7 linked regions of the Xenopus tropicalis genome follow. The protein of the gene in region 2 purifies or fractionates together with the protein of the main gene of each other region. This does not show direct contact. Links are inferred from orthologs where the notes say so. Each region holds a gene or a part of one and is shown on either strand. Other genes may lie near its edges.

Region 1 (3,078 bases), on a different chromosome or scaffold from region 2:
CTGCAACTGATGGGGATTCCTGTAATCTCACCAACCTCCTTAGGAAATAAGGCCTAGGTGCCCACAGCACCACCCTTCTGAAAATAACAACTGGCTGGGGCAGCCAACAAGTTTACCTTCCAAATATTTTGGCCAGCATCTGTAGACTGCAGGGTGGAGCTTACTTAAACATATCCATTCTACCAATCAGAATGAGGATGGAATGTTGTAAATGCACAGATCCTGGTACTCATGTTTTTGTTTCTGTATAGCAGCTCTTGTCCCTGCACCTTAGTGCTCACAGTGTGTTGTTATTTACAGTGCAGCATAGCATCCTCCTATCATGATAAAATGTATATTCATTGCTACCATTCATGAATTTGATCCCAACCTAAGCACAGTCATTTAACCCTTGCTTTGTCACAAAGGCTGACACAGGGGAGATAGAAAGCTTGCATGTAATGTGAATGCACACAGCATCCTTAATGGAGGTGGATAATTAATAGGAAAGATGCTAGAAGTGACAGAGGGTTAAAACTATAATGCAGTAATACAAATATTAAAGTAAATAAACATGATAAACTGTAAAGGCGAGCATTTCAAAATATGGACTTCTCCTATAACAGATAACAGCACCCATTTTGGGATTTTCATGCTCCAAACCAATCTGAGACTAAAATATTCCAATTCAGAGAGAAAAAGATACAAACAATTGTAATATTAACTTTTAAATAAACTTTGATATCTCAGAACATGTGAATAACTGTACAAACATAACTTGCAATGAGTAGATTCCATACATAGTATATCAGTTAGATAACATTCAAAAGTCTGACCCCAGTCCTTTGTCTGTTTAATCACAAATAAGCAGTTACCACCCAGGTGTTGCAGAACTACAACCTTCCATTCCTCATACACATGAACTGGCAGGGAAAACACTGAAAAATATTAGCCTTCTTGCATACTGCCTTTTCAAAAGCATGGCAGAAAAGCACAATAAACAGACATGTACATGAGCAATAGCTGTGACTGAGTTCCCTTGGGACAAACATTTTCCTTGCCAAGTCCCATGATGAATACAACCAACACATAGAGCCATGCTATTGCATTTCAATGAATCCTTGTGACTTCTAAAGTTCAAGAGTCCTGATTAGAACTGCTTATTGGACTAGGTCATTTCATCGATGATAACACACATAGCTGCATCCTTATCAATTGTGGTCTCTTTCAGAGAAGCTGCTGCTGCCTCCTGGGGCCCCGCATGATGGTCCGTACAGGGTTCCCGAACATCCATTGGTTCAGTTTTTACACTGACTGCGCCATCAGAAAGAGGGAGGTCATTGGGTAGCGATGCCAGACAGTTCTGGATCATCTCCACCACTCGCTCTAGATGTTTCTGGAACCTCTCTGCCGTTTCCAGCCGCTGACGTTTCTGCACCTCCATCATCACCCGCAGGGTCTCACGTGCCTGGTGGGGCCTGTACTCATTAATAAGGTGGTGCATGTGAACAAATAACAACTTTAGGTCCTCCAGTTTCTCCTCCCTTCGGATGCTGCCTGGGCTTCGGATCAGGATGTCCAACATATCCAGAAAGTTGACCAGGATGGACATAAGGAGCTTCCTCAGCTCCTTCTTATGGTCGAACTGCATGGGGTGGAGCCTCTCGATGCCCTGAGTTTCCAGAGGGCGGATAATAAGGTCATCACACTGAAACTGGTTGCCAAACATCATGTAGCTGTCCTTTATGGGGAGGGGAGGCTTGGGGGCCAGGCCCTTGCGGATGTTTTCATCTGTGTACTCCTTAATGTACTGCATGGGAGGTATAGGCAAAGCGCTGACCTGCTGAGGCTCCCCCATTATGAAGTGAGTAGGAGAACCTGTGACACAGAAAGAAAAAGCCCATTCAGTTACATACAAATAACAATATAAATCCCTGTGTGTGCAGCACATATATATATATATATGCATTCCAATTGATGATGCGCACTCCTGTATTTTTTTAGTTCATTTATTGTTACATTATAAAGTTAAAAACATCAACGTTTCGGTCCAGGTCTAGGACCTTTATCAAGATGTTAAGCCATAAAAAGTCACACACATAATGAGTCTTTATATAATACAAAATGCCTAACCCCGCCCACATTGAGCATAGCCCCAACCCCATTTCACAACCCTTAAGCTGGCCATACACGTGGCGATCTGACGATGTTTCGTACGACCATCGGTCGCACGAAACATTGTCAGATCCGCCACACACCTTTCAAGGCTGAATCGGCAGGTAAGAAGGTAGAAACAATAGGATTTTTACCTCCTTCTGCCGATTCAGCTCTGAAGGGAGAATTTTGGTCAGGCGCCTTCTATGGCGCCCGATCAAAATTTTCAAACTGGTCCGATCGGCGAGTCGGCCGATATCAGCAGATTCCTGCGATATCGGTCGACTCGCCGACATGCCATACACGCACCGATTATCGTACGAAACGAGGTATCCTGTATAGCACATACTGACCTGCTCCTCAACTCCTCTCTCATTCCCTCCTCACACGCTCGCATTCAAGACTTTGCAAGGGCTGCCCCCCTTCTCTGGAATTCGCTCCCACAAACTGTCAGACTTTCTCCCAATCTCTCTGCCTTCAAGAGATCTCTAAAAACACACTTATTTAGAGAGGCTTACCCTAATCTAGTTTAGCAATACCCTGTGCCACACCTCTCACAACTCTGGCCATGCCCATTCCCACACCTTGTGTCTCAACCCTTTCTCCTTGTAGATTGTAAGCTCTTTTGGGCAGGGCTCTCTTCACCTCTTGTATTGGTTATTGATTGCTTTATATGTTACTCTGTATGTCCAATGTATGTAACCCACTTATTGTACAGCGCTGCGGAATATGTTGGCGCTTTATAAATAAATGTTAATGTAATAAAATACACAAATTGTGAATTAAAGAAAACATATCAGTACAATTAATAAACACTATTACAATTAATTAATTGTACTGATGTGTTTTCTTTAATTCACAATTTGGGGTTGGGGCTCTGCTCAATGTGGGCGGGGTTAGGCATTTTGTATTATATAAAGACTCATTATGTGTGTGACTTTTTAT
Region 2 (4,178 bases):
GGGGGAGGGGGAAAGGGCCAGTTGTGTGGAGAAGATGTGGTCTGGGGATAGGCAGGGTGAGTGGGTGAGTGGGTCCTCTAGCTCCTCCAGGGGAAGCTCCCCTTCTTCGAATTCTATCACGCTGTGGTCCCTCTGCAGTAAGCCAGATGAGGGCCCAGCGTTGATGTGGCAGTGGCAAAAAGGGGTCCCGGGCTAGGGGGTATGGTGGGGGAAGGGACTGCAACTGGTGTAGGGGCAAGGGAATGCAGTGGGGGTGCTGACTTCCACTGTGGGGGCCTGTGTGTGGCCCGCCTAGCCTTATCACTGGCTGGGGGCTTTTGTCTTTGAGAAGCATTGGTGGCAGTGGCTGTGACCGCCATAGGTGCCTGGGCCGCAGTCCTGACCTCTGCACGCTGCCTCCTCGAGACTACAGTCGGGGGTTGGGAGGCAGCGGCAGAGGACGTGCGCCTGGATGCGCGTGGGGGACTGGGGCTCAGGCGAGAGGGAGGGCGGGAGCGGCGAGCCGGCCGCTTCCCAGCACTGCCGGCTGCCTGTCCCCCCTGTCTCTGTTCAGTGCTGATGGGGCCAAGTAGCTGTTGTAGCCAGTCGGCTCCATCAGAAGCAATTTTTGCCTGCACCTGCTCCAGTAGTTCCTCGCTCATGCTGGGGTCTGGTGGGGGCTGATGGACACAGGCAGCAGCAGCAGTTGGAGCAGCTAGGATGCCGCTTGGTGGAATCCAGAAGCAGAGTGGCAGCAGCAGCACGGGAATGCAGGCACAGAGGAGGGAGGAGGAGCGAGCAAGGGGGGGCTGCCCTTTCCTGACTGCACTAGCTGGTGAGTTAACCCCTTACAAGCACGGAGGGAACTGGGCCACAGCTGGCTCCACAGTCCCTCCGCGCTTTCATTATTTATTTCAGTGCTCTCTATTCTAGTTGGCAAAGTTTGCAGTGTCATCTATTAGTACTGGCCAGCATTAGGCATGGTTGAATTCCCTGCTACCTGAACAAGGCATTTTTTGCCATGTATTTTAGTTCTATGGATAATGTCTGACTAGTACACTGAAAAAAACACTATTTCAAAGATAAATGTGTTTATAATTGATTGTGTGATTTGGCGCGCATTTATTAACATGAAGGCACTGCATCGCCAGCAATGAAGTAATGAATGAAGTGATAGGCTTTCCCCCTGCCAGTTGTTTGTGCCCAGGAACCCTCCGCTCAGAGTACAGGCCCGGTAAGAAGTGACGCCTCTCAGGCGGGCAGCTTCCACAATTTGGCAGCACCACGGCAGAGCGGGCAGCTGCTGGAAGTGAAATTGAAAGTAAAGATAGAGGGCGCTCTTCCCGCTAAAGTACATGGCATGCGTCTATGTGCAAAGAAGAAGAAAAACAAGGAAATGGTGGAGGGAGAGCCTGGCACTTATTCCATGTAACGACCGGCAGTAGCCAACGGACAGCAAAGGGTTGGGGCGATAGCTGAGCCTTGATGGGTTAAATACGCCCTCGCTCCAGCCGTGGAGGAGGATGGATTACGAATTTAAGAGCAAGCTGTCCGCCGAGCGGGAGAAAGTGGAGGAGCTGTTTGAATATGAAGGTTGCAAAGTGGGTCGAGGCACCTACGGGCATGTTTACAAAGCTAAGAGGAAAGATGGGTAAGAGGCACTAAAGGGAGGGGCGTGTGGGAGGGAGGTGTGTGTTAGGTCACTGTTCATACCTGTGTGCGGACCACCTAGAGCATCGCGCAGTCCTGTGCTTGAGCAGCAAACGCACCTCTCTAGGTGCACACATACCTGCGTGGGTTCCGTACAGTAGAATGCATGTGCTTGCTGCTATTGTGTCTATGAGGTAATTATTGTGTTCACTCATGTCTGTCACAGCCTTGTGTTTGTTATACCAGCAGCACTGCATATACACGTAACCCCCGGACAACGAGGAAAGCCGGAGATGCTGCATTTCTTGTCATGTTAGGAAGTTATTGATGGGGATATTGTGCTAGTTATGTGCTGTTACTGTGTATTTGTAGCTCCCTCCTCCTCCTCTGCACACGCCCGGGATGCTGAACTTGTGCTGGGGGAGGAGGGGGAGGGAGTCTGAGCTACAAATGTTTATGTTGGGGTAATCCAGCCTTGTGGTCCCACCTACTCCGCTGTTCCTCCTCTTCAGTGTTTGCCATAGCACCATGTGTCAATATTTTCTCCCTCGTCTTGCAGATTACCCATTTCTATGGCATTTTCCCTCTCTTTAAAGAGCCAGTCCTGATCAGTAAGGATGCCAGCCCTTTACTGAGGAGACAGTTACCCGCTGGGATTCGTGAAGGGCAGCGGTAGGGCCACAAGTTGAACATCACTGGAGGCTGAGCTGTGTGTATGAAAAGGGCAATTACACATGATATGAAGTGACTGCTTATACTTCAGGCTTAACTAAGGAATAAATAAATGCGTTGTTCTCTAAACTCAGCATAGTAAGACTTTTAATAAAGTTGAAATGATGCTTTGCTTGATTTCATTCAGGTTAAAACATTTGTGATGGCACCTATGTGATTTTTCTGGGATATTTGCTAAATAAACACACGTTCTTTAAAACATTGGCATGTTTGTGTATGTGCAAGATTTTATAATCGCCTCCATGTTTGATGTTTTAGTTGCAGTCTTATACTAATGGCTGTAAGAACTTTGAATTATTTATCAGACAGACATTATTTAGCCCATCTAGCATGAAGTTTTTTTTTAATTCTCAGGACTAAGAATCAATAAAAAAAGCTTTTAAAAAGATGCAATCCTTTGTCAACCCTTTTTTTTTTTAACTCTTGGTTCTGGCCCTTTAGTTATCCTCCAGGGAAGGTGCTAATTCTCACAGTGCTTTGCTCACTTCTTCATAGGTAGAACTACTGGTTTAATGGTGGGTTGCTGGACTGGCAATTTGTACATTCTGCTTAACACCAGAGGGACTGTAAGATGCCCATAGACAGTCACTATTGGGCCTGTGGGTGGCTGTTTGGGCGTCTTAAGTACTTGAAATGCCAGGGTCTGTTTTGTCTTGCAGCCCATACCTGGGCCAGGTTTAGGCTAAATAATACAGATTGGGGACTTATAAGGTATTATATTAGGTTAAAAAAATCCATTAGTTCTGTAGCAGTGACATCACATTACATTGCAAATAGTGCATTGTCTGTTTCTTTTTCTACTGTTTTTTTTCCACAAGAAAAAAATATTCCCCTTTCTGTACCTGTGCACCCTCCATATTATTTCTGTGTTTTTGCTGGAACATTTTGTACAATTCCATGTCCCATTGTTTAACTCACATCCTGCATTAGATTTCCAGCCCATGCATAAATGTCACTCTTTGTATAATGAGTAAGCTTAAATGTTTTCCTGTAACTATTCATTTTTAATTATTATTAATTATTTTATTCTCTGCCCCCTTAGCTAAAGGTAAATGTTCAAAGATTATAACTAGTCAAACTCTTCTGTCTTTACTTTTCTCATTCCCACTGGTGATGGTTTGGAGGCGAGGATCATCTCTCAGGGGCAACTTGGGGCAATTTGATACTCAATGTAAGCTTGTAGTTCCTTGCCTCTTGTACATGCCTTAACATCTAATAGCCCATTTGCTGAGATGCTCACTGAGACAACTTGTGACCATCATAAATAACCCTGCTTATTTTTAAATCTAAGTAATGTAATATTTAGATATTCTTGAAGAATTCCCCAAGTACAGAAATACTTAGTAATAAATTATCTGTTCCACTGTCCTGTCCTTTGTTTACCTCCCATGAATCCTTGTCAATTCTTTGTTTAGTAGTAGTTGGGCAGGTTTGTGGTACATTACCATTAGGGCCATGACAGACGGGGAGATAAGTTGCTGCACGACAAATCTCCCTTGTCGCGGGCGACTAATCTCCCCGATATGCCATCCCACCAGTTAGGGTGACTAATCTTCCGGTCTGTCATGACCTTTAATTACATAAAAAATGGCCCTCGAGCCAATAAAATCTCTTAAAAAACTGGGACCCATGTAACTTTTGGTTACTCTGCTATGTTTGTGTAAACTGTCTGCTGGCTCTTACCTTTGCTAGTATATTTAAATTGTCACGTTGGTGACTAATACATCATTTTCTAATCTTGTAATCTTATCTGTAGCACTTCCTTTCATTGGAGGATGTTTTGAAATATTTTATTTGCTTGTAGAACTGTTCACTTC
Region 3 (4,271 bases), on a different chromosome or scaffold from region 2:
GGAACAGAATGGGTGGGTAGTGCTTGTATTGAACACCAGGTCCTTTCAAAAAAACACAAGGTCTAGGACTGCCACTGTCAGAAAGGTTTGAACCATAAAAAGATGGTTCAGGAATTCCAGTAGAGTACAAGAAGATTTCTACAAGTACATAGTTGATGGTTTCAGAGACTGCAGAGATAAACTGGATGAGCATTGTTAGACTTTGCAAGGAGGTGCTCATTGTTTACAGGGGTTTATGAACCTCATTACCCTGTTAAATAATAATAAAAAAATATATATTTTTACTTAATGCGCCCGATTGTGCTTAAAAATGGTAACCCCGGTATTTTTCATCAATGTCCCATATTGTGCAGAAAATAATGTTCATATAAAAGGCAGAAAAGATGGGACAGCAATATATAAATAGATACCATCAGTAGCCAAGTAAATGCATGGCAAAGATCCCAATTCTAATTACAAGTAAAAAAGACTGCAAGGGAACATGATCGATTAGCGCAGTACAACAGGTACTCCAGATTCCATTGCACAATAGCGAAACGGATAACAATAATATAGTACAATAACCCTGCTGATTGTACTACTAATAGGCTGTATGTTCTCGCCCAGGATTCCCATACACACAGCGCCCTCGCCTGGCGTCGCACGGAACATTCGGGCAGAGGCCTGCTGTAGACACAGGGCTCGATTTGCCTCCCCCTCCTCGCCACGTGACCGGCTCCTGCCAATCGGGCTCCGTGTTGTCGCAACCGGACGCCATTGCTGCTGTCAGAGAGGCGAACCTACGGTCAGTGTGTGAGGCACAGGAGAGCGGCGGGATAGCCCGTGCCCGAGTCAGCTGTGAAGCCGGTGGGACAGGGAACCTTCCGAAGCCCTAGTGACTTCTGCGCAGGATTAGACCAGGGCCTTACAGCACAGGCTGCGCGGCATTCACCACGGAAGAGGACAAGGATCCCGCGGCCTCCTTCTGTGACCGAGAACCGTACATCTGTCGCTTCGTCCAGATATCCGTGCGGCGGGCATCTGAGCAGGGGGGCATCGCTGGCCACACAGGCGCCTCAATGACAGACGCTTGCGGGTTCTCATGTGACTGACATGGAAACGTGTCCTGTGCCATGAGTGGCACCAGTGGGGGCTCCTGTATCTGGCACCACCAGGATCCCATTGGCTAAGGATTGGTACCTGCGGGGCCCTAACTACCCATTGCCCGCTTGGCTCCTGGGCCTGTGCCCAGCACTGTGGGCGCCCATGCATACATTTGAGTGAGTGGGAGCCGGTGTCGGGGTATTGACGCCGCCAGTGACAAGCCTGCAGTATTGGATGTCGGTATCCTGGCACTGGGCGGCCTGGCTGCTGGACTTGCACTGCATTCCCTGACAAGCAGGGGGAGGCCGCACTGTTTCCTTCCTCTCTTATCCCCCGGCCCGGAGCGCCCCTCCCCCACCCGGGTGACTCATTGCTCTGCGCCGCCGGACTATCAGGAAAGTCAGGGTTTTCCTCGGCACCCTCGGGGTTTCCCGGGACATGGCCATAGTCACCGGAGCTTAGTTCTACTCGCAGCCCAACTGCGGATCTTGCGTGGATCGGACACTGCCTGCTCTCTTTCTGATCGGAAGCCCCTCATTTGAGACCTTTAGTCATGCTCAGCTTTGGTAGCCAGGCTCCCGGTGGATCATGACTGCGGCGGCTAACTGGGCGGCCAACGGGGCGAGCCTGGAGGACTGTCACTCTAACCTCTTCTCATTGGTAAATGCCATTTATTTCCCCTTTAAACGGCTCCACATCCTGAAGCCCTCCAGTTGTTGTTAAGCAGCACTTAGGCGCTGGAAGTTGTAGTTCAAGGACAGCTGGGGGGGGCTCAGGGTAGACACCCCAAGGGCCTTCCTGCTCTGAACACTGCCAATGGCTTCTAACTGCTGAATTGTCTCTCTCTGTCCTTGTCATATTGGTGATGTCATCTGGCTATTACATCTGGCTATTACATAGCCCTAGGAATATGCTCTCCACATGGGTTGCACCAGACATCTCTTTATTCTGTTTGTGGACCACTTCCACTTTGTGTCTGGAGGATGCTTGCTTTTGGTTTAGCCTTCCCATTGGCAGCAAAAACAGAATCTTTTGTCATCAAAGTATCTCTTTGATTGTAGTATTTTCCTACTCATCTTTACTTATAATAACTGCTATTTACACTGTTTACGTTGTTGATATGAATTGCTAGATTATTCAATATGTATATGTTTATTGAGACATGAGTGTCATTAAAATTCTGGATGAAAAGCTGCAGCTTCCATGAAAATGTCTATGAAGATTCTCATTCATCCAGGTCATGATATACAGTATCTAGTAGAATTAAGTCTAAAACAACTGGACTTTTCTGAGTTTTTCTTGAAAACGTTTCACCGCTCATCCAAGTGGCTTCTTCAGTTCAAATGACTGAAGAAGCCACTTGGATGAGTGGTGATACGTTTTCAAGAAAAACTCAGAAAAGTCCAGTTGTTTTAGACTTAATTCTACTAGATACTGTATTCCATGAAAATGTTGTGTTTTTGTTAGGGTATTAAAGTGTTTCCTGGTTTTGTTTGTTTGTAAGACCTGTTGTAGTTAGTCCTTCAATTTAGTGCATTTTATTGCTGACAATGTTTCATATTATACATTTCATTTGGTTTTTGCAAGTTTTCAGATTACAGTCCATTGGTAAAGACACTTTTAAGAATAGTTGTTATTGAAACTTTCAGAATATTTATCCTGAGCTTTAGTTGGTTGATTCTTTATGGAGGCCTGGTGAGATATACGAGGATGTGCTTTCTATTGGTAGTTTTATTTTTGCCCAGATTGATTTGCCTTGTATGTACTTGTTTCTTTAAAGGACATGTCCAGCCCCAAAATATTTTTGCCTAGTAAAAGAAAACATAATTCAAAGCAACTTTGCAATGTATATTCATTACAAGTTTGTAATGGTTTTTGAATTGTTTGTATATAGAATTGCTATTAAAGCAGTGTTTGCCAGTCCTTTTCTATTCTCTGCCCTGGAGCTCTGGCATTTGAAACAATTTAACACAAGCCAGCAGACTGACAGACCTGCCTTGCTGGAGCAGACTGGCTTTTGCAACATTGTTTAAAAAATAACAACCAGGAGTTCAGCAAATGCTAAAAAATGTAAAAAATTTTTAGAAACTTATTGGAAAGTTGGTTCTAATTATGTTTTGTTTTATTAAGCAAAACATTATTTTGCATGTCCTTTAAGTACACAAATGTCTGTTTATACCAGTGACAAAAAAATTAATGTTATTCAGTCAAAGAACTGAACTTTGTGTAACAGAAGAGCTGTCAGTCCAAATTATAGCTGCATGAAACATTACATTATAGTTACCAGTCTGGAGTTTTGAGTAGCACTTTTTTGTAGGCTATCACTTTGTCATCATCTTAGTTTTATTGATTTATATGTACTGCTTCTTTTTATAGTGGTCTTAAGTACATTACAAAGCAAAGAGGAGGCTGTTAACCTGCTTAAATGATTGTGCATTGTGGAAGGAAACACATGTGGGCATGTTGTTCTGTGTCTATGTGCTGTTCAATGAAGCCAGGTTGGCTCTATTGGCAACAATTTCCCAGGGGACATTTGGGGGCAGAGACGAACACCAAATGCAAGGCTGAAGTCACTAGTGGTATTTTCTCCAATGATGCAAAACAATGCTGCTGGATGTCTCTAGCGCAGACTGGCAATGACAATAATGTTAACTGACTGTCGCTGTGCACGCAGGGAAGTTTTTGTGTAGAAATCCGCACTGTATATGTAGTGACAGCCAGTTGCCATTTAAGTCTATTTCAGTCTGCACTAGATGAACCAGATATTTCTCCACTTTACAGAGATTTGCTGGAGGAGAAAATGGTGTGTGTGGAATTAGCTTAACTGTCCTTGATCAGATATTTTAGTTTACTTTGTTATTCTTTGTACTGTCTGTGGGAAAATGGACTTATGTTGGATACTGTTGTATTTGACCACAAACATTTTTCTATGTGCATAAAGGACCCACACATATACAGCTGTCATTTTTTTTGCAGTGAAGCTTTGAGCAATAATATTTTGTACTTCCCACTCCTACCCCTCAAACTTTTTTTGTTAACCTGTGAGATCATGTAAGTGTTTGTATCAGCACTAGCCCATGTGCACCATCATTTGGGAGGCTCCCATAAGTCAGTGTGATATGTTAGCTGTCTGTGGGAAATAGATAACACTTAATACACCAAACTGCACATTAATCAGACAGTCATTT
Region 4 (4,150 bases), on a different chromosome or scaffold from region 2:
TTTTGAGGGTAAAACCATACTCCATTTATCTATTCATACGTAGGAATATTTGAACTTCTGAATGCCATTCTAAAAGTGATCATACACACGTGGATGTCTCCCTTTGGAAATCACGTGGAAATCTCCCTTGTCACGGGCGACTAATCTCCCCGATATGCCATCCCACTGGCTAGAACGTAAATCACCGGTGGGATGGCACACGCGGTGCAGCGATTTGCCAAAATTGTTGAAGTTGCATTGAGAGGAAACTTCGCTGATTTTGGCGCCGCATATGCCATCCCATCAGCGATTTACATTCTAGCCAGTGGGAAGGCATATCGGGGAGATTTGTCATGCAGCGACTAATCTCCCCGTCTGTCACAGCCCTTAAACTGCAGATTTAGGCCCTTCAGACTGATTCGGCAGCTCAGCCATGGGGCCTTCCATTGGGCCTACCCAACTGATATCTCCCAGAAAATCCACCAGACATTGATAGTCAGGTTTGATTCAAGGACTGCGTCAGCTGATTGCCTGTGGCCAATCAACTGGATTAGCCCAATATCACTCACCTTAGCTGGGCATATTGGGGGAAAGATACGCTGGTTTGACAACCTTGGCAAACAAGCAGATTTTATGGCGTATAGCCGGCTTTACTTTGATTTCCACAGCAAAAAAAAATGATCAAATGTTGGTAAAATGCTTCCACATGAGTTGTATATATAAACATGCATGTGTTATCTGCCTTAGTATTTGCATGACACAATACAGATATTTCATTAAGAGCATAGGAAGTTCGGCAAAACATCCATTTGGTTCATAAGAAACTTAAGGGTCGCACATCTCAAGTGGGGACAAATTGCCTGCTCCAAGAGCAAGCAGAAGCCACACAACAGGATGTCCTGAGACAACATATGACTGATTTCTCCAAACTACAATAAAAACTCTGCTTTTCTCGGAACAGCAGCTCTATGCATGTTCCCATAGCTTGGTGCAGTGACTTATAGTGTAACTGCTAGCAAGCCACAGTTTAATAATCCCTAGGATGTTCGGAATCAGCCAAAGGGGGCTTACTCAGGTACAGACGTGTAATGTGTGGCCGTCACTTTAAGGAAGGAGTGGCTACAACAGACCGGCTACAAATAGCGGCGTATACTTTCGCATGTACTTAATATGTACACAATCCCCTCTTTGTACCTCTGTATCTCCTTTTTCTGCCATGTCCCCAGAAGTTTCCCCCCACCCCTGTCTTCGGGTCTGGGGGGCGGATAGGCATTCGAGACTGGAGTACACAAGTCCTACCCCCTCTGACCCGGAATTACTCTTTTTTTTCCAGAGGCGAGCTCTTACCCGGAAGTGCTCCGTCTGAACGTGGAAGAAGTGACCGGAATCTTTATAGCCCTAAGGAGAGGGATTTGGCGGAAAACGTGAAAATGCAGGTAAGATTGACATAAGACGTGTTTCATTAATGTTTATGTTAGTGCAAAGGCGGAGTGGAATTGTTTTCGCTAATTTGTATGTAAATATTTAGTAGCTGTTCTTATCAAATAACGCTACTCCGTCCGTAAAGTAGACCTTTTGTGTCTGCAATGAGTAGTACAACTGACATTTAGGGGCTGATTTACTAACCCACGAATTCGAATCCGAATTGGAAAAATTCCGATTGGAAAACGAACATTTTGCAACTTTTTCGTATTTTTTGCGGTTTTTTTCGGCGCCTTTACGACTTTTCGGAAATTGTCGCGACTTTTTCGTTACCAATACGATTTGCGAGTTTTTCGTAGCCATTACGATGCGCTCGTATCTTGTCGCGACTTTTTCGTATTGAGCGCTCGGAAGCGGCGGCCGAAACTTTCAGACTTAGCATGATTTTGGAAGCCTCCCATAGGACTCAATGGCTCCCTGCAGCTCCAATCTGGCCCATACTGAAGCTTGAATGAATCCGAACGCTACGAAAAAATCGCAACATTTTGCGCAACTTTCGGAATGGCTACAAAAAAAGCGCGACTTTTCGCGTAAGTTTTAACGCTACGAAAAAATCGCCAGATTTTGCGCAACATTCGGAATGGCAATGAAAAAGTTGCGATAATTTTCCGAAAAATCGCCAAATACCGATCATTACGAAAAAAACGCAATCGGACGCATTCGGCCCGTTCATGGGAAAGTAAATGTGCCCCTTAGTATTTTACAGAAAGATATAGTCTGTTATTTGGTGGAGAAGGCAGTGATCCTGAAATTACATTTGAAATCCAGTCACTTATCAAATCATGTCACTTTCACCTAAGAAATAGTTCCAAAATACAATCATTGATCACCCAAGATGCTGCCAAAATTCTTATTCACTCTCTTATAATATCTCGCCTGGACTACTGGAACTCTCTGCTAATTTCACTAAATTCACTCTGTTCTTTTGCAATTCCACTGTAGAACTACAAATCTATGGCAGCTATTTAAAAATGCACTAACAATCCAACTGATGCAACACCTTCTCCTGCTTATAATAATTTAAAAAAAAAACCTTAGATCCTTTCTACACTCCTGTTGCTTTCAATAATTAAGAGTGCAAACTACCATATAATATTCTTTTTGGATGGGTGCTTCACAGCTTAAACATTTGCCAGAGGTTAAAAAAGGCATAAAAACAAAGGTTAAAAAAAGGTTTATTCATACGAAAAAGATATGGTCCCCATGAACTACATGGACTGAAAGCCAACACATTCAACAATTCAACTAGACTTAAAAATGGACAATCCCAGAAAATAAACCCAGACATCAGGCTCAGAACAAAAGGAAAAATAAATTTATAATAATGATTAGGCGAGAGTCCAACCTTATCCTCCTCCCACCCCCTATACTGCTGTTATGAATTGGACCCATTTCTTTGTTACTCTCCCAGTTCTCATGCAATTTCACTGTCAAATTTGCAGCAGACCTATGGTAGATATGGAAATGTGTACATATTCTTTCTCTTAGTCTGCTCATTTCTACTTCTTCTAACAGAAATTTATCACTAACAGCATCAAACTGACATCTAATTTCATTCAGTTTAATTTTCACTTCTCTTTTTCTTCTGACATGCTGACTGCTGTTACCTATACAGGTATGGGACCCATTATCCAGAATGCTTGGGACCTGGGGTTTTCCGGATAGGGGGTCTTTCCGTAATTTGAATCTCCTACCTTAAGTCTACTAAAAAAATTATTTAAACAGTAATTAAACCCAGTAGGATTGTTTTGCCTCCAATACGGATTAATTATATCTTAGTTGGAATCAAGTAAAAGGTACAGTTTGTTTTATTACAGAGAAAAAGGAATTATGTGAATTATTTGATTACAATGTAGTCTATGGGAGATGGGCTTTCCATAATTCTGAACTTTCTGGATAATGGGTTTCTGGATAAGGGTCCGATACCTGTACCAACAATCTATTACATTGTTGCGCTTCAGTACTTTTCGCATTGGGCCATCAACTATTTGAGTCAGTCCACCAAATTTCACTTAAGGTCTGTGTCAGAAGTTGCCATTAATTTGCACCAAATATTGCAAAATTGCACAAATTAATTTTCCTGCTCTGCTGCTTTCCATTACTTATAACAATAACCAATCACATGGACAATCTTTAATACTACTGCTGCCATTAAGCTTACATCCTTCTGCAAAGTTAGTGGTAGACATATGGCAGCTTACATAAGAAGTTCTTAATTATGATTAATATGGACAGTAAAACTGCCATAAACATTTTTTGCAATTGCATCTTCTTTTCTGCTGATTCCCAGCACATGTGCTGCTGTCCATTACTGAGTTTAGATGCTGACTCAATATTCTGTATATAGAGAATATAAATGTCAAGATATAAGGGTAATAGTAATACCCTTATATTACTACATGGCAGCTCTGAAACCAGTGCAGCTAACAACAGAATTTAATAATCAGCCCTGCAGGCAAGTTTGCACAACTTCAAAAAAAACAAAGCAATGCATAGGCCTTTCCACCAGCAATTCACTTTATTGCTGGTGGAAAGGCTTTTTGGGCAGATTAGTTGCAGTAGCAGAGATTTATCGCGGATGACTAATCTCCCCGTGGGCCAATAACCTTAGGATGAAGGCCCACGGGGAGATTAGTTGCCTGAGGTTAAATCTCCTGCAGGAAACTTCATGCAACTTTGGAAAATTAAG
Region 5 (3,500 bases), on a different chromosome or scaffold from region 2:
TCATCAGAATGTGTCTTTTCCAAAAACATATGGTTTTCTGGGGGTCTCTGTACAGTTAGCGGGTCTTATGGCACATAATACACTGTCAGGGTGCTCTGTTGCTGGCAGGTGATAAATCCATACGCACTATTCATTTTGGGGTCCGTACATACCACAGACTTTGGTATATCTATGCATATTGGGCATCAAACTGTTCAGTAGACCTCTGGTGTGTGTTATATTTAGTCATATTTGGGGTGATTTGCCTTTGTATGCAAGAAACTGTGTGAGATAAATGTGACAAATTGCAACATTTTTTGGTGTAGGAAGGACTCTTTACCCATGCTGGATATTTTCAGGGGTCGCTGTACATTTAGGGGGTCTACAACACATAATACGCAACAGGGGATCTTATTTTCAGAAACTGAGTTGGTAGCTGAGAAAATTCATGTGCATATTTTCATTTGGGTTCCTCTGTACACCTCATAATTTGGTAAATCTATGCATATTGGCCTCAAACTGTTCAGTAGACCTCTGATATTCATATTTGGGGTGATTTTCTTTTGTCAGAAAAATGCTAACTTTAGAAAAGCTTTACAGATTAGTACTTTGGTGTAGAAAGGCCTCTTTAACCATGTTAGATCCATCAGAATATGTACTTTCCAGGAATATATGGTTTTCTGTGGGTCTCTGTACATTTAGGGGGTCTTACTTCACATAATACACAAGCAGTTAGTCGAAGCAGAGTCAGCACCCGAGAAAATTCATATGCACTAATAAAAAATCTTTTGGCTCTAACCAGCATTTATAATAAAAGGCACTAAGTTTGTAAAGAAGCAAACACTAACTAACAGCAGCCAATAAGATGTTTCCTTAAGGGTGAAGACACATGGAGCTACTTAGCAGCAGCTACTTTCCATGGCTTCTAAACACCAGAAAATACCCTGCCATAGGCAATACTGTGAAATTAAAATACATGTAGTAAATGATCAGCATTTTAGTAGCCACGACAAGTACCTGCTACTAGTAGCTCCGTGTGTCTTCACCCTTAGACTAGGTAACCAGTAAATGCTACCTGCTGATTGGTTGCTAAGGGTTATTGCTCCTAGGAAAACTTACTGACTTTTATTACATAATCCCCTCAAAGCACAGTTCAGTGTGAAAATGAAACTGGGTAAAATAGACCATTAAATAAAAAATATTTCTAATATAGTTAGGCTAAAGTGAGCAGATGTCTAACATAATAGACAGAACACTACTTCCTGCTTTCAGCTCTCTAACCTAAAAATGTCCCAAACACTTTATTGCTTAAAAGACATATGTAAGCAAAGTGAAATACCATTACAAATGTTGTAAATAGAAATGTCTGAAAAAATGTAAATAAACAAATGTTTAAACAACAATGTTAAAAAAAAAAAAAAAAATTAACAGAACCATTATGTCCCATATGGCCCTCCCTAAAGTTGCTGATTGGTTACTGACTGCTAACAGCTTAGAGAGCTGTAAAGGAGAAAGTAGTGTTCTGGCTAACTATATTGAAAACATTCTTTACTTTGCGCATTGGTACAAGGATAAGGAAGGTACCCAAACCCATACTTTCCCAACTTAATGTTCACCCATGCCTCTTGCAAAACCCATTTTTTCCATGTTTTTTTCCCTTCAAGAACACAGCTGCCATCTTGGATCTGCATATGCACTGTCCGCTAACCCACAAAACATGACCATCTCCTGTGCTTGCATGTGATCGTTATGTCATGACAAAAGAAGGGAATGCTGGATAGTTTTGCAAATGCAAACCTGCAATCATCTTCTGCGCAATTTGAAAGCACAAACCTAACCCCAGTATCCAAGTGATGGCTTCTACTCTTAAAATATGATCAGTTTATATCAGAGCTGCAGGTGATCAGCAGAACAATGGGAAGTTAGCAAGTAAACAGCTCCCTGACACCTGTATTGCTAAAAGTGGCAGATAGAATAGCACTCAATAGTGAAAAAAGTCTGGCTCATGACTTCTGTAGTTCAAGCTCCTCCAATTACATGGAAGTAGGAGAAACATTAGGTTACCTGAAAGCAGGTCTAATGTGTAGCGCTGGCTCCTTCTTAAAGCTCATCGCAGGAACATGCACTGACATGGCTGCCTACACATCAATATGACAACTAAAATACATTTGTTCTTTGAAGAATACAATTTTAAATAGTAGAGTGAATTATTTGCTATGTAAACCAGTCATTTGGAAATAAAAAGTACACCATCAAAATCGTGACAGAATCAAGGATTTAAGGATCATTTTCTTATACTATTCTATATTTATTATGCATAAAAATATCATAATATGAAGTGCTGTTCATTAATATTGAAAATATCTAGGTGTCTTGTCACATATTTACCTCTACAGTGATTCCACGACCACTCTGTCCCACTGTTACCGTGCCAATCTTGACTAAGAAGTCACAGTACTGGTAACGCGTGCCACGTGTTTCCATCTTGTTGGCTTTCGCATTCTGGAAGAATCCCTTAAGCTTTACCATAAGCACATCCAGGTTTAGGTCAGCAACTAGACATGGACCATTCTCAAATAATGCAAATGTACTGAGAGGGTACTCTGAATTGTGCATAACATAGAGGAGCTTCCCAGCCTGACCTGAAATTTAGAGCATATAAATGCAAATACTCTTTAATTTAGGAATATACAACATGGCAATTTTGGATGAGAACTGTGAAAGGTTGCCTACAAATGAAGAAATGAACAGAGACAGAGAGCATATAAAAGAACATTAAATTGTATCTCTACTATATTACAAAATGTAAGTATTCCAGAACCAAGCATATATCTATATGGAATTTGTGTGCTCTATCAAAAATTACTTTCTCTAAAACAATGCTATTTTAACCAGGATAACTTTATCATTTTCAAACAGACCATACATACAAGTTCCTTTTACAATATCCCTTTAATCAAACAATCCAACTTTCATAAAATGATTCTGATCTAGGCCAAACAGAGCCTTTTACATGTTTACCATACTTATTGCATTTATTCCTATTCACTGCAGAAATTTGAGATGTGGGAACATTATTTCACACATGATGGACTTGTTTGATAGCCCAGACTACAGTAACGTGTAGTATTTTCACAGGTGACATGACACGATCATTTGAAGTAAGCGTTTTGGAATGGTGGGGCTAGATGGCTCCATCCAGAACATAGGGATAGCTAACATATTTTCCCTGCAAAATGTTTAAAACATATTCCACATAGTTCAATCTTGCCAAACCTTATACAGGTATGGGACATGTTATCCAGAATGCTCAGGACCTGGGGTTTTCCGGATAAGGGATCTTTCCGTAATTTGGATCTCCAAAACTTAAGTCTGCTAAAAATTATTTAAATATTGAATAATCCCAATAGACTTTTTTGCCTCCAATAAGGATTAATTACAGTATATCTTAGTTGGGATTAAGTACAAGGTACTGTTTTATTATTACAGAGAAAAAGGAGATCATTTTTAAAAATTAGAAT
Region 6 (4,190 bases), on a different chromosome or scaffold from region 2:
ACACTGTAACTAAACCACTGACTGTGACTGCAATCCAACCCTCCATTGGCTTTCCACCAAACAAAGTAAGAGATGGGGAAAACTTCACGCGTGAGAACTTTTCTCCAAAACTGGAAACACCAGACTGCAGGAGAAAAAAGATCAGTATTAAGGGTGGTAAATGCCTACTTAAAGGGAAATAATGGTTAGGGGACAAAAGAAATAATGGTCTCTGCTTAACAACAAAAAGGATAAGCAAAGTGAAGTGAAGTGAAAGAAAAGAGCATACAAACAACTAAATATAAATACTAATGTAAATATTCATTGTTATCTCACCCACCTTCTCAACATGGAGAGCAAGTTTGACTCCATTGTGCAACCAAGACAGAGCTACTATGGGATCTCCATCCACTTCGCTGCCTACAAGACTCTGCCAGCTGTTTGCTAAGTGATCAGTCATTCCCCAGCATTTGATTCGACCATCTGCATCAGCTGAGAGCAGGCGGGAACCTAAAAATACCAATAAAACCAAAGCAACAGTTACAAACACTACTGTCTATGTCCCTTCAAGGATTCATTTTCTGCTTCCCACATTTATCTTGTTTCTTCATATTTCCCTTTGCTCTCTGCCCTTCCCTTTTAAGTTATATGGTTTTCTTGTTTATTATCAAAAAGCCCAGCAATTTGTTTTACTGTACCAGATTGGTCCCACTCCAAGCTGGTAATAACTTCCTGGTGCCCAGAGTTAATAGAGTAGACATCCCACGGATGTTCTGTGTCGAGGATATGGATCAAATTAGTGATATCTGAGAAGAAAAAAAATCAAGTTATTTCAGATTTATCCATATTCCTGTAAAAACACTTTTTAATTTATCAAAACCCTGGAAAACAAACAATCTGGTGAGAATTATGCAATGTTGCAACTCTCCATGGTCAAATTATACTTGCTTTAACGAATAAGAATATATTCAATGAGAGCATAAAATATATACTTAAATTTGTGCATTGTAAAACGCCTGATTTTGAGTACAGTTGAACTTTTTAGAAAGATAATAGAAGACAGATGAACTCTTTGCACTTCAATGTAAATTTCATAAGGTAAATGAATGGGGGTGGGAAGGAGGGCTAACTACAGCCAATTGTTTAGCATTTTTTCAGTAACAAGCACTTTTCTTACAGCTCACACGACCCAACTATTGTGAGAGAATACACACTTCTTCACTTAACATTCTAGTAGGCAGCTCTGGACTGAGATTTAAAATAGGCCCTAGCATTTTCAGCACACAAAAGCTCAAATAGCCCCCAACTAGCGCTCTACTACACAGTCACTGTCTATGGCATCTTTCAGCAGTCCCTCTGGCATTTGCCAGAACCCACAGACTGGCAGTCTGAGCCTGCTGGCAGGGATTATTTACTAAGGGGGGGTAAGGTGCAGAATTTTTTTTCCCCACAATACAAAGTGGCACAGAATGACATTAAATAAAAAGTAGAATTTATTGCAGTAACACATTCCTGGGTCTGAATTTGTGCACCTAGGTCTCAAGCTGCCACGCTTCCACTACAAGCAATACTTTCTATTTTTATATTGGTGCAAGGCATTGTGTCTCAACCCTTTCTCCTTGTAGATTGTAAGCTCTTTTGGGCAGGGCCCTCTTCACCTCTTGTATCGGTTATTGATTGCTTTATATGTTACTCTGTATGTCCAATGTATGTAACCCACTTATTGTACATCGCTGCAGAATATGTTGGCGCTTTATAAATAAATGTTAATGTAATGTAAAAGGCATTGCCTAACCGTAATGTGTATGCCTATAGATTCAGATGCTTTAATTTTTTATCTGCGTCTATGCATCTATCTGCATTCTATGCATTCTAGTGACCCAAATACCCTTAATATACTAACCTAGTTCATTTTAAACATGGTAATATAAAAATGTAATCCAAGCAATCCAAGCTCTTTGGTAAGACCAGCTTTGGACTGGGAACCCAGGGACCCACAAGAAAACCTTAGACCCACTTTCCAAATTATTTGTCCTCCTTCCCCACCCAACCACTTTATTCTCCAAGTCTCTTTTATTTACATAGCATCTATTCTTCCATCTAATTCTTGACTTTCTTCCCATTCAGAAATAGGGAATGACCATGAAACAGGCCAAATGATCAGGAGCAGGAGACTGACACCTGGGCCCACCATGAGTTCTCCTGGTATCCAGTCCAACACTGGGTAAGACTCATTTTGGTTTGTCTTTTAATTGTTTTATGCATTATAGATAGAGAGAGAAAAGTAGACATATAACAGTTACTAAATAATAGAAATACACACACATATAATCACACTCACAGAGCGGTGCTGTAATAACAAAAAGATGTTACCTTTCTCCTCCTCATTGCGCTGATCTGTAGTGAAAGCAATAAGATTGCGGCAAGACCAAGCGCAAACTAGTGGGATTGATGGGCAGTGACTGGTCCGTGGTCTTTTGTCCCACTCACATACGTACCCCACATCCATGCTGACAGCAAACACGCACCTACTAACTATGGGAGAAGGGCTACAGATCGGGGGAACAGAAACACAATGGCTTACATTGGGAATGGACTGACTGACTGCAGCTATAAGAAACGAAGGCGGACGACAAGAAGCGTCAAAAAGCGAAAATATGCTAGAACCTTGCGTAGGGGATTTGCTACTAAACTGCTCTGGTTACTGCTGGTTCCAGAATCCCGTAGGATAACAAGGTTCTACGTAAAACCAGTAATGAAAGTTCCCGGCTACATTAGTGCGTCTCACGGAATAAGCGTCTCAATGTCGCTTTCCGATGGCGTCATCCTTAGATTAGCATGCCGACCTCTCCCGGCGTGCATCGTGGCAAATGCCTAAATTGCAGCTATAAATTCAATCTTTCTCTTCTGTTTTTCATGTACCCAGTAAATAAAACAATATCAAGTAATATTTATTGCTGCTCGGTGTAAATATACATATAGACATACAAAATTGTCACTCCAATATAACCGAATCAAAAGCTAGGGGCTTTAAATAAGAACCGGCGCTAAGGTATGTTTGTGCTCGCTTCGGCAGCACATATACTAAAATTGGAACGATACAGAGAAGATTAGCATGGCCCCTGCGCAAGGATGACACGCAAATTCGTGAAGCGTTCCATATTTTGCACTTATCTTATCAAATGGATATTGGAGTGAAAAACAAACCATGTATATTTATATATATATATATGTATTTAGTTTGTTTTTCACTCCAGATGAAGGCTTCTGTGTGAGACCCAATCGTTGAGTAATAAACCTTTCTATTTTTACATTTACATTTTGCTCACACTTTACTTTGGAAATAAATGTAATTTGGGACTATTTTAATTTAATATATATATATTCTCCACTCATCTAATAAAAAATGTGTATTTGTGAACAGTGTGTGTGTTTGTGTATATATATATATATATATATATATATAGATTTACACACACACAGGATTATGATTTAAAAACTAAAAATCTTTAGTTCCCCCCTTTATTATGCTGTGAAGATGGTTTCTTCCTACAGTCAGTGGTGTAACTATAGAGGAAGCAGACACCATGGTTGGGGGGGGGGCACCAGGGGCAGCCTGGACCATAGGGTCTGGTTCCTCTATAGCAGGGGTGGGCAAACTATGGCCCGCTGTCTCCGGCCCCCTTAAAAGAATGACGGGCCCTGATTGGTTGCGCCCCATGCATGCGCATAGCGTCAGCACACACGGGGCGCAACCATATAAAAGAATGCACTGGGGAGCCGGGGAACAGAAGGACGGGACGGAGGAAGCAGCGGGTCGCTGGCGGAGGGAGCCGCAGGTCATGAAGGATGCTGGGGGGGAGCTGAGAGGCCCCATAATTTTTGATGGCAGCCCCGGGCGTAACGCTGTCCCGGCCCGGTCCGGCCCGTCTGTTAGTCAATGTGGCCCCTGACCCAAAAAGTTTGCCCACCCCTGCTCTATAGTCACTCTCATTGATAAAGTTAAGGGTGCCCGCTGCTTAATATTTGCCAGGGTGGTGGCCAGGTACCTGTGTGCGCCAGACCCCTCCAAAAAATGATTGTGGAAATGTGAAATATGGCAAAATCAGGGAATGTAAAAGTGAGATTTCACTGTGTCTCATCCCACTTGTTGTGGGATGAGATACACAGTGTATCTACAAAGAAGTCAATGGAGATATTGAGCAGACCAT
Region 7 (3,500 bases), on a different chromosome or scaffold from region 2:
GTATGGCATAAAGGCAAGAGTTCACAGGGCAGTTTTAAACATTTGGCCCTGCAGCACTCAGTGGCCTAGTGGAGAGAGCACAAAATGATCCAACACTCCCCTCATTAAAGGAAAAGTAACACTAAAAAATTTTTAACTAAAAAATCTATTCTACCCTCCCCCAATAATTGCCCTATCCTGAAAACCATTTGTGATTTTGAATGCTTTAGAAGAAAATACCTGTTAAACTCTGCTTCCTGTCATTTGAACAAAGGCGATACGGCAATGCCGGGGAAAGTATCAGGAGATGCATGAACTATGCAGTGATCGACTGATCGAGCCTAGCCTGACTCCTTCCTATACAGAAGTCAGGCTAGGATCGATCAATCGATCACCGCATAGTTCATGCATCTCCTGATACTTTCCCCGGCATCGCCGTATCGCCTTTGTTCAAATGACAGGAAGCCAAGTTTTTTTTACAGGTATTTTCTACTAAAGCATTCAAAATCACAAATGGTTTTCAGGATAGGGCAATTATTGGGGGAGGGTAGAATAGATTTTTTTAGTTAAAAAATTTTAGTGTTACTTTTCCTTTAAGTTATGGCAAATCCCTGCCAGTGTGGGTACACTCGTTTGTTAGACCATTGCTGTTTGAAAATGCTGAGCACTAAATGTCCAAGAGTCAATTTTAAATGCCACAGCACCAACAAAAAGTGTGTGGATTCATTACCACCCAGTACCCAGACACACAGGCCAGCAGCAGACGTGATAGCTACGCGCACCCATCCCAAAGTAGTAATAGCCATTGTGCATCCCTAGGAAACAATTATGTCAAGTAAAAGAAAAACTGACTCCAGGTGCAGGATGTTCAAAGAACAGTGGACCTACGATTACTTTTTCATGCAGTGCAAGGAGAGAGCGGTTTGTCTGGTATGCCAGGATTCAGTGGCTGTGTTCAAAGAATGAATTTGCGTTGACACTACGAAACTCGACATATAGGATATCTATGAAAGGTTCACCAAACTGTGAATGATTTGGAGCTGGACTGGGCTAAACTAGCCAGTGAGACAACTGATGGTGTTCCTAGCATGGTGGGGTCTATGACCAAGAGATGGACAAACACAACCATTCGCGTCCAATAGTGATATCCTGCCTCATCCATCAACAAGCGCTGTGATTTACTGTGATCACTGAAGTGCAACTCATAAAGTTGTGGTGTACTGTGTTAATTTCATTAGGGCTCGTGCCGTAAACCACAAACAGCTTCAGGAATTTCTCTCTGAGCTGAATGTTGCCTATGAAGATATTATGTACCGCGCAGAAATGTGCATCGAGGGAGAGTTTTGAAATGTTTTTATGCCTTACTTCCACGGGTTTCTGCTTTTCTGTACCAGATGCAGAATGGAAGTGGCACCTTGCCTTTCTGACAGATGTAACAGCGCTACTCAACAGTTTCAATGTGCAACTTCAAGGAAAGGGGAAGCTCATCTGTGATATACATTCACATGTGAAAACATCTGAAGTAAAATTGGACCTCCTTATTAAAACAAGTAAAGGAGGAAAACTTCTGCCATCACCCCACTACGCAAAAGCTGAGAAACCATAAGAAACCATACCCAAACAAAAAATGTGTGGATTCACTGGAAAATGTTGCAAAGGGAGTTTTAACATACAGCTTTTACAGAACCCATTTTCAATTGACATTGAAATTGTTAATCCGATTTACCAAATGAAACTGGCCGAACTACAGAATTGTGACTCTCTGAAAGACGTATTGAAATCAAGCAGCCTTACAATTTCTATGCATTTCTCCCCTCTGAGACATATCTTAATCTCAGGAATCATTCACTCATAATGACAACCATCTTTGGCAGCATCTATGTCTGTGAACAGACTTTTTCCAGAATGAAACATCTGAAATCGCCAACCAGATCCAGACTAACGGATGAACACTTGCATCACTTGTTATGACTGGCAGTGAGAAACATGGAACCGGACTATCTCATCAGCCAAAACCAGGTCCATGCTTCCCATTGAAGTCTATGTTTGTTAAAATTGTTTTTCATTTTAAATATTGTATTGCCCTTTCATGTTTTTTTGCACTACAAATAAGATATGTGCAGTGTGCATGGCAATTCGTTTGTGGTTTTTTAAAAAAAAAATTCAAACTATAGTCCAGCAACCCAACAGTCTAAGGGAAAATGAACTGGCCCCCTGTTTAAAAAGCTTGAAGATCCCTGCATTAGTATATTAAAGGAATACTATCACGGGGAAACATATTTGTTACAAAACCCATCAGTTAAAGGAGATTCTCCAGCAAAATCCTGCATTGAATCCATTTTTCAAAAACACAAACAGATCTAACATGGATTCTAATTTTGAAATTTCACATGGGGCTAGCCATATTCTTCATTTCCCAGGGTGCCATGTGACCTGTGCTCTTATAACCTTCAGTCACACTTCACTGTGGCGCTGCAAGTTGGAGTGATATCTCCCCCCTCCCAGCAGCCAATCAAGAGAACAATGGGAAGGGAGCAAGATAGCAGCTCCCAGTAGGTATCAGAATAGCACTCAATAGTAAGAAATCCAAGTCTGGCTTGGGACTCCTCCAGTTACATGGCAGTAGGAGAAACAACAAGTTACCTGAAAGCAGTTCAAATGTGTAGCGCTTCTGAAAGCTCAGACTTAGGGACACTTTATTGCTGCGCTGCAAGTTGAAGTGATATCCCACCCCCAGCAGCCGATCAGCAGCCGATCGGAAGGGAGCAAGATAGCAGCTCCCAGTACGTATCTGAATTATTTGCTATGTAAACAGTGTCATTTAGAAATAAAAAGTACACCATAAAAATCATGACAGAATCCCTTTAAAAATAGTCGAAGGTGATTATCTAACCCAATGTACTGTTTACATTCTGGCATGAAAAGAACACGCTTGTAGAACCAATGCCAAATGTTTTATGTTGTTTTATGTTACAAATGCAAAATAAACACCTTTGAAAAAAAAAAAAAAAAAAAAAAAATAGTTGAAGGTACCATGAACTGACGAGTCGGAGTCAAAAGTATTTATGTACCGACTGCACAGAATAAACACCTATAGCTTTTCCATATTGACACAAACACTTCAACTGCCTTCAAAATGTTATTTTAAAACTTACTGTATGAATTTGCGGGCAAAAGACTTCAGTTTCCCAGTGGCTGCCGCTGCGGCCAATAGCAAGTCCAGGCTCTTGCCAGACAGCATATGACCCAAGACTCCCAGAAGACCCTCTGGAGACTTTGAATGGTCAGCATCCATTGTCTGTGAAATATAAGATCATCACAACAGAGTAGGAGGATTAATATGTAATAAAGGCATAGCAGCTATCACTTATAATAAGGAAACCTGACCTGGATTACATATAAAATAAAAGTGATAAAGACTGAATCTGTGGTTACCCTCAGATAAGAAAATGAGCAGCTGGGCATCATATATGCATTTGCTGGCCGCAAATACTGCACGACCCCCATATGGCAAACTGCTA

What was found.
Region 1: the proteins of cdk19 (region 2) and med7 purify together in Homo sapiens (affinity purification with mass spectrometry; 5 studies listed by BioGRID and IntAct, counting the BioPlex papers as one, with this or other methods). This does not show direct contact. The link is inferred for Xenopus tropicalis from reciprocal best matches to the Homo sapiens genes CDK19 and MED7.
Region 3: the proteins of cdk19 (region 2) and med13l purify together in Homo sapiens (affinity purification with mass spectrometry; 5 studies listed by BioGRID and IntAct, counting the BioPlex papers as one, with this or other methods). This does not show direct contact. The link is inferred for Xenopus tropicalis from reciprocal best matches to the Homo sapiens genes CDK19 and MED13L.
Region 4: the proteins of cdk19 (region 2) and med8 purify together in Homo sapiens (affinity purification with mass spectrometry; 6 studies listed by BioGRID and IntAct, counting the BioPlex papers as one, with this or other methods). This does not show direct contact. The link is inferred for Xenopus tropicalis from reciprocal best matches to the Homo sapiens genes CDK19 and MED8.
Region 5: the proteins of cdk19 (region 2) and med20 purify together in Homo sapiens (affinity purification with mass spectrometry; 5 studies listed by BioGRID and IntAct, counting the BioPlex papers as one, with this or other methods). This does not show direct contact. The link is inferred for Xenopus tropicalis from reciprocal best matches to the Homo sapiens genes CDK19 and MED20.
Region 6: the proteins of cdk19 (region 2) and med16 purify together in Homo sapiens (affinity purification with mass spectrometry; 6 studies listed by BioGRID and IntAct, counting the BioPlex papers as one, with this or other methods). This does not show direct contact. The link is inferred for Xenopus tropicalis from reciprocal best matches to the Homo sapiens genes CDK19 and MED16.
Region 7: the proteins of cdk19 (region 2) and med24 purify together in Homo sapiens (affinity purification with mass spectrometry; 6 studies listed by BioGRID and IntAct, counting the BioPlex papers as one, with this or other methods). This does not show direct contact. The link is inferred for Xenopus tropicalis from reciprocal best matches to the Homo sapiens genes CDK19 and MED24.

Annotation. Positions count from the first base shown.
Region 1 is NC_030679.2:14,184,281-14,187,358, reverse strand, and holds med7 (mediator of RNA polymerase II transcription subunit 7), read right to left. Parts: upstream 1,869-3,078; 5' UTR 1,838-1,868; coding exon 1,148-1,837; 3' UTR 501-1,147; downstream 1-500. UniProt on the Homo sapiens protein: Component of the Mediator complex, a coactivator involved in the regulated transcription of nearly all RNA polymerase II-dependent genes.
Region 2 is NC_030681.2:77,212,074-77,216,251, forward strand, and holds the start of cdk19 (cyclin-dependent kinase 19), read left to right. Parts: upstream 1-1,378; 5' UTR 1,379-1,502; coding exon 1,503-1,630; intron 1,631-1,642; exon of another isoform or gene 1,643-1,823; intron 1,824-2,188; exon of another isoform or gene 2,189-2,562; intron 2,563-4,178.
Region 3 is NC_030677.2:145,341,029-145,345,299, forward strand, and holds the start of med13l (mediator of RNA polymerase II transcription subunit 13-like), read left to right. Parts: upstream 1-1,471; 5' UTR 1,472-1,671; coding exon 1,672-1,743; intron 1,744-4,271. UniProt on the Homo sapiens protein: Component of the Mediator complex, a coactivator involved in the regulated transcription of nearly all RNA polymerase II-dependent genes.
Region 4 is NC_030680.2:88,535,262-88,539,411, reverse strand, and holds the start of med8 (mediator of RNA polymerase II transcription subunit 8), read left to right. Parts: upstream 1-1,350; 5' UTR 1,351-1,409; coding exon 1,410-1,415; intron 1,416-4,150. Other genes in the region: KICSTOR complex protein SZT2, read right to left, coding at 1,174-1,197. UniProt on the Homo sapiens protein: Component of the Mediator complex, a coactivator involved in the regulated transcription of nearly all RNA polymerase II-dependent genes.
Region 5 is NC_030678.2:70,770,635-70,774,134, reverse strand, and holds part of med20 (mediator of RNA polymerase II transcription subunit 20), read right to left. Parts: intron 2,622-3,500; coding exon 2,368-2,621; intron 1-2,367. UniProt on the Homo sapiens protein: Component of the Mediator complex, a coactivator involved in the regulated transcription of nearly all RNA polymerase II-dependent genes.
Region 6 is NC_030677.2:100,791,844-100,796,033, reverse strand, and holds the start of med16 (mediator of RNA polymerase II transcription subunit 16), read right to left. Parts: upstream 2,801-4,190; 5' UTR 2,489-2,800; coding exon 2,353-2,488; intron 786-2,352; coding exon 678-785; intron 490-677; coding exon 320-489; intron 125-319; coding exon 1-124. UniProt on the Homo sapiens protein: Component of the Mediator complex, a coactivator involved in the regulated transcription of nearly all RNA polymerase II-dependent genes.
Region 7 is NC_030678.2:112,529,724-112,533,223, forward strand, and holds part of med24 (mediator of RNA polymerase II transcription subunit 24), read right to left. Parts: intron 3,278-3,500; coding exon 3,135-3,277; intron 1-3,134. UniProt on the Homo sapiens protein: Component of the Mediator complex, a coactivator involved in the regulated transcription of nearly all RNA polymerase II-dependent genes.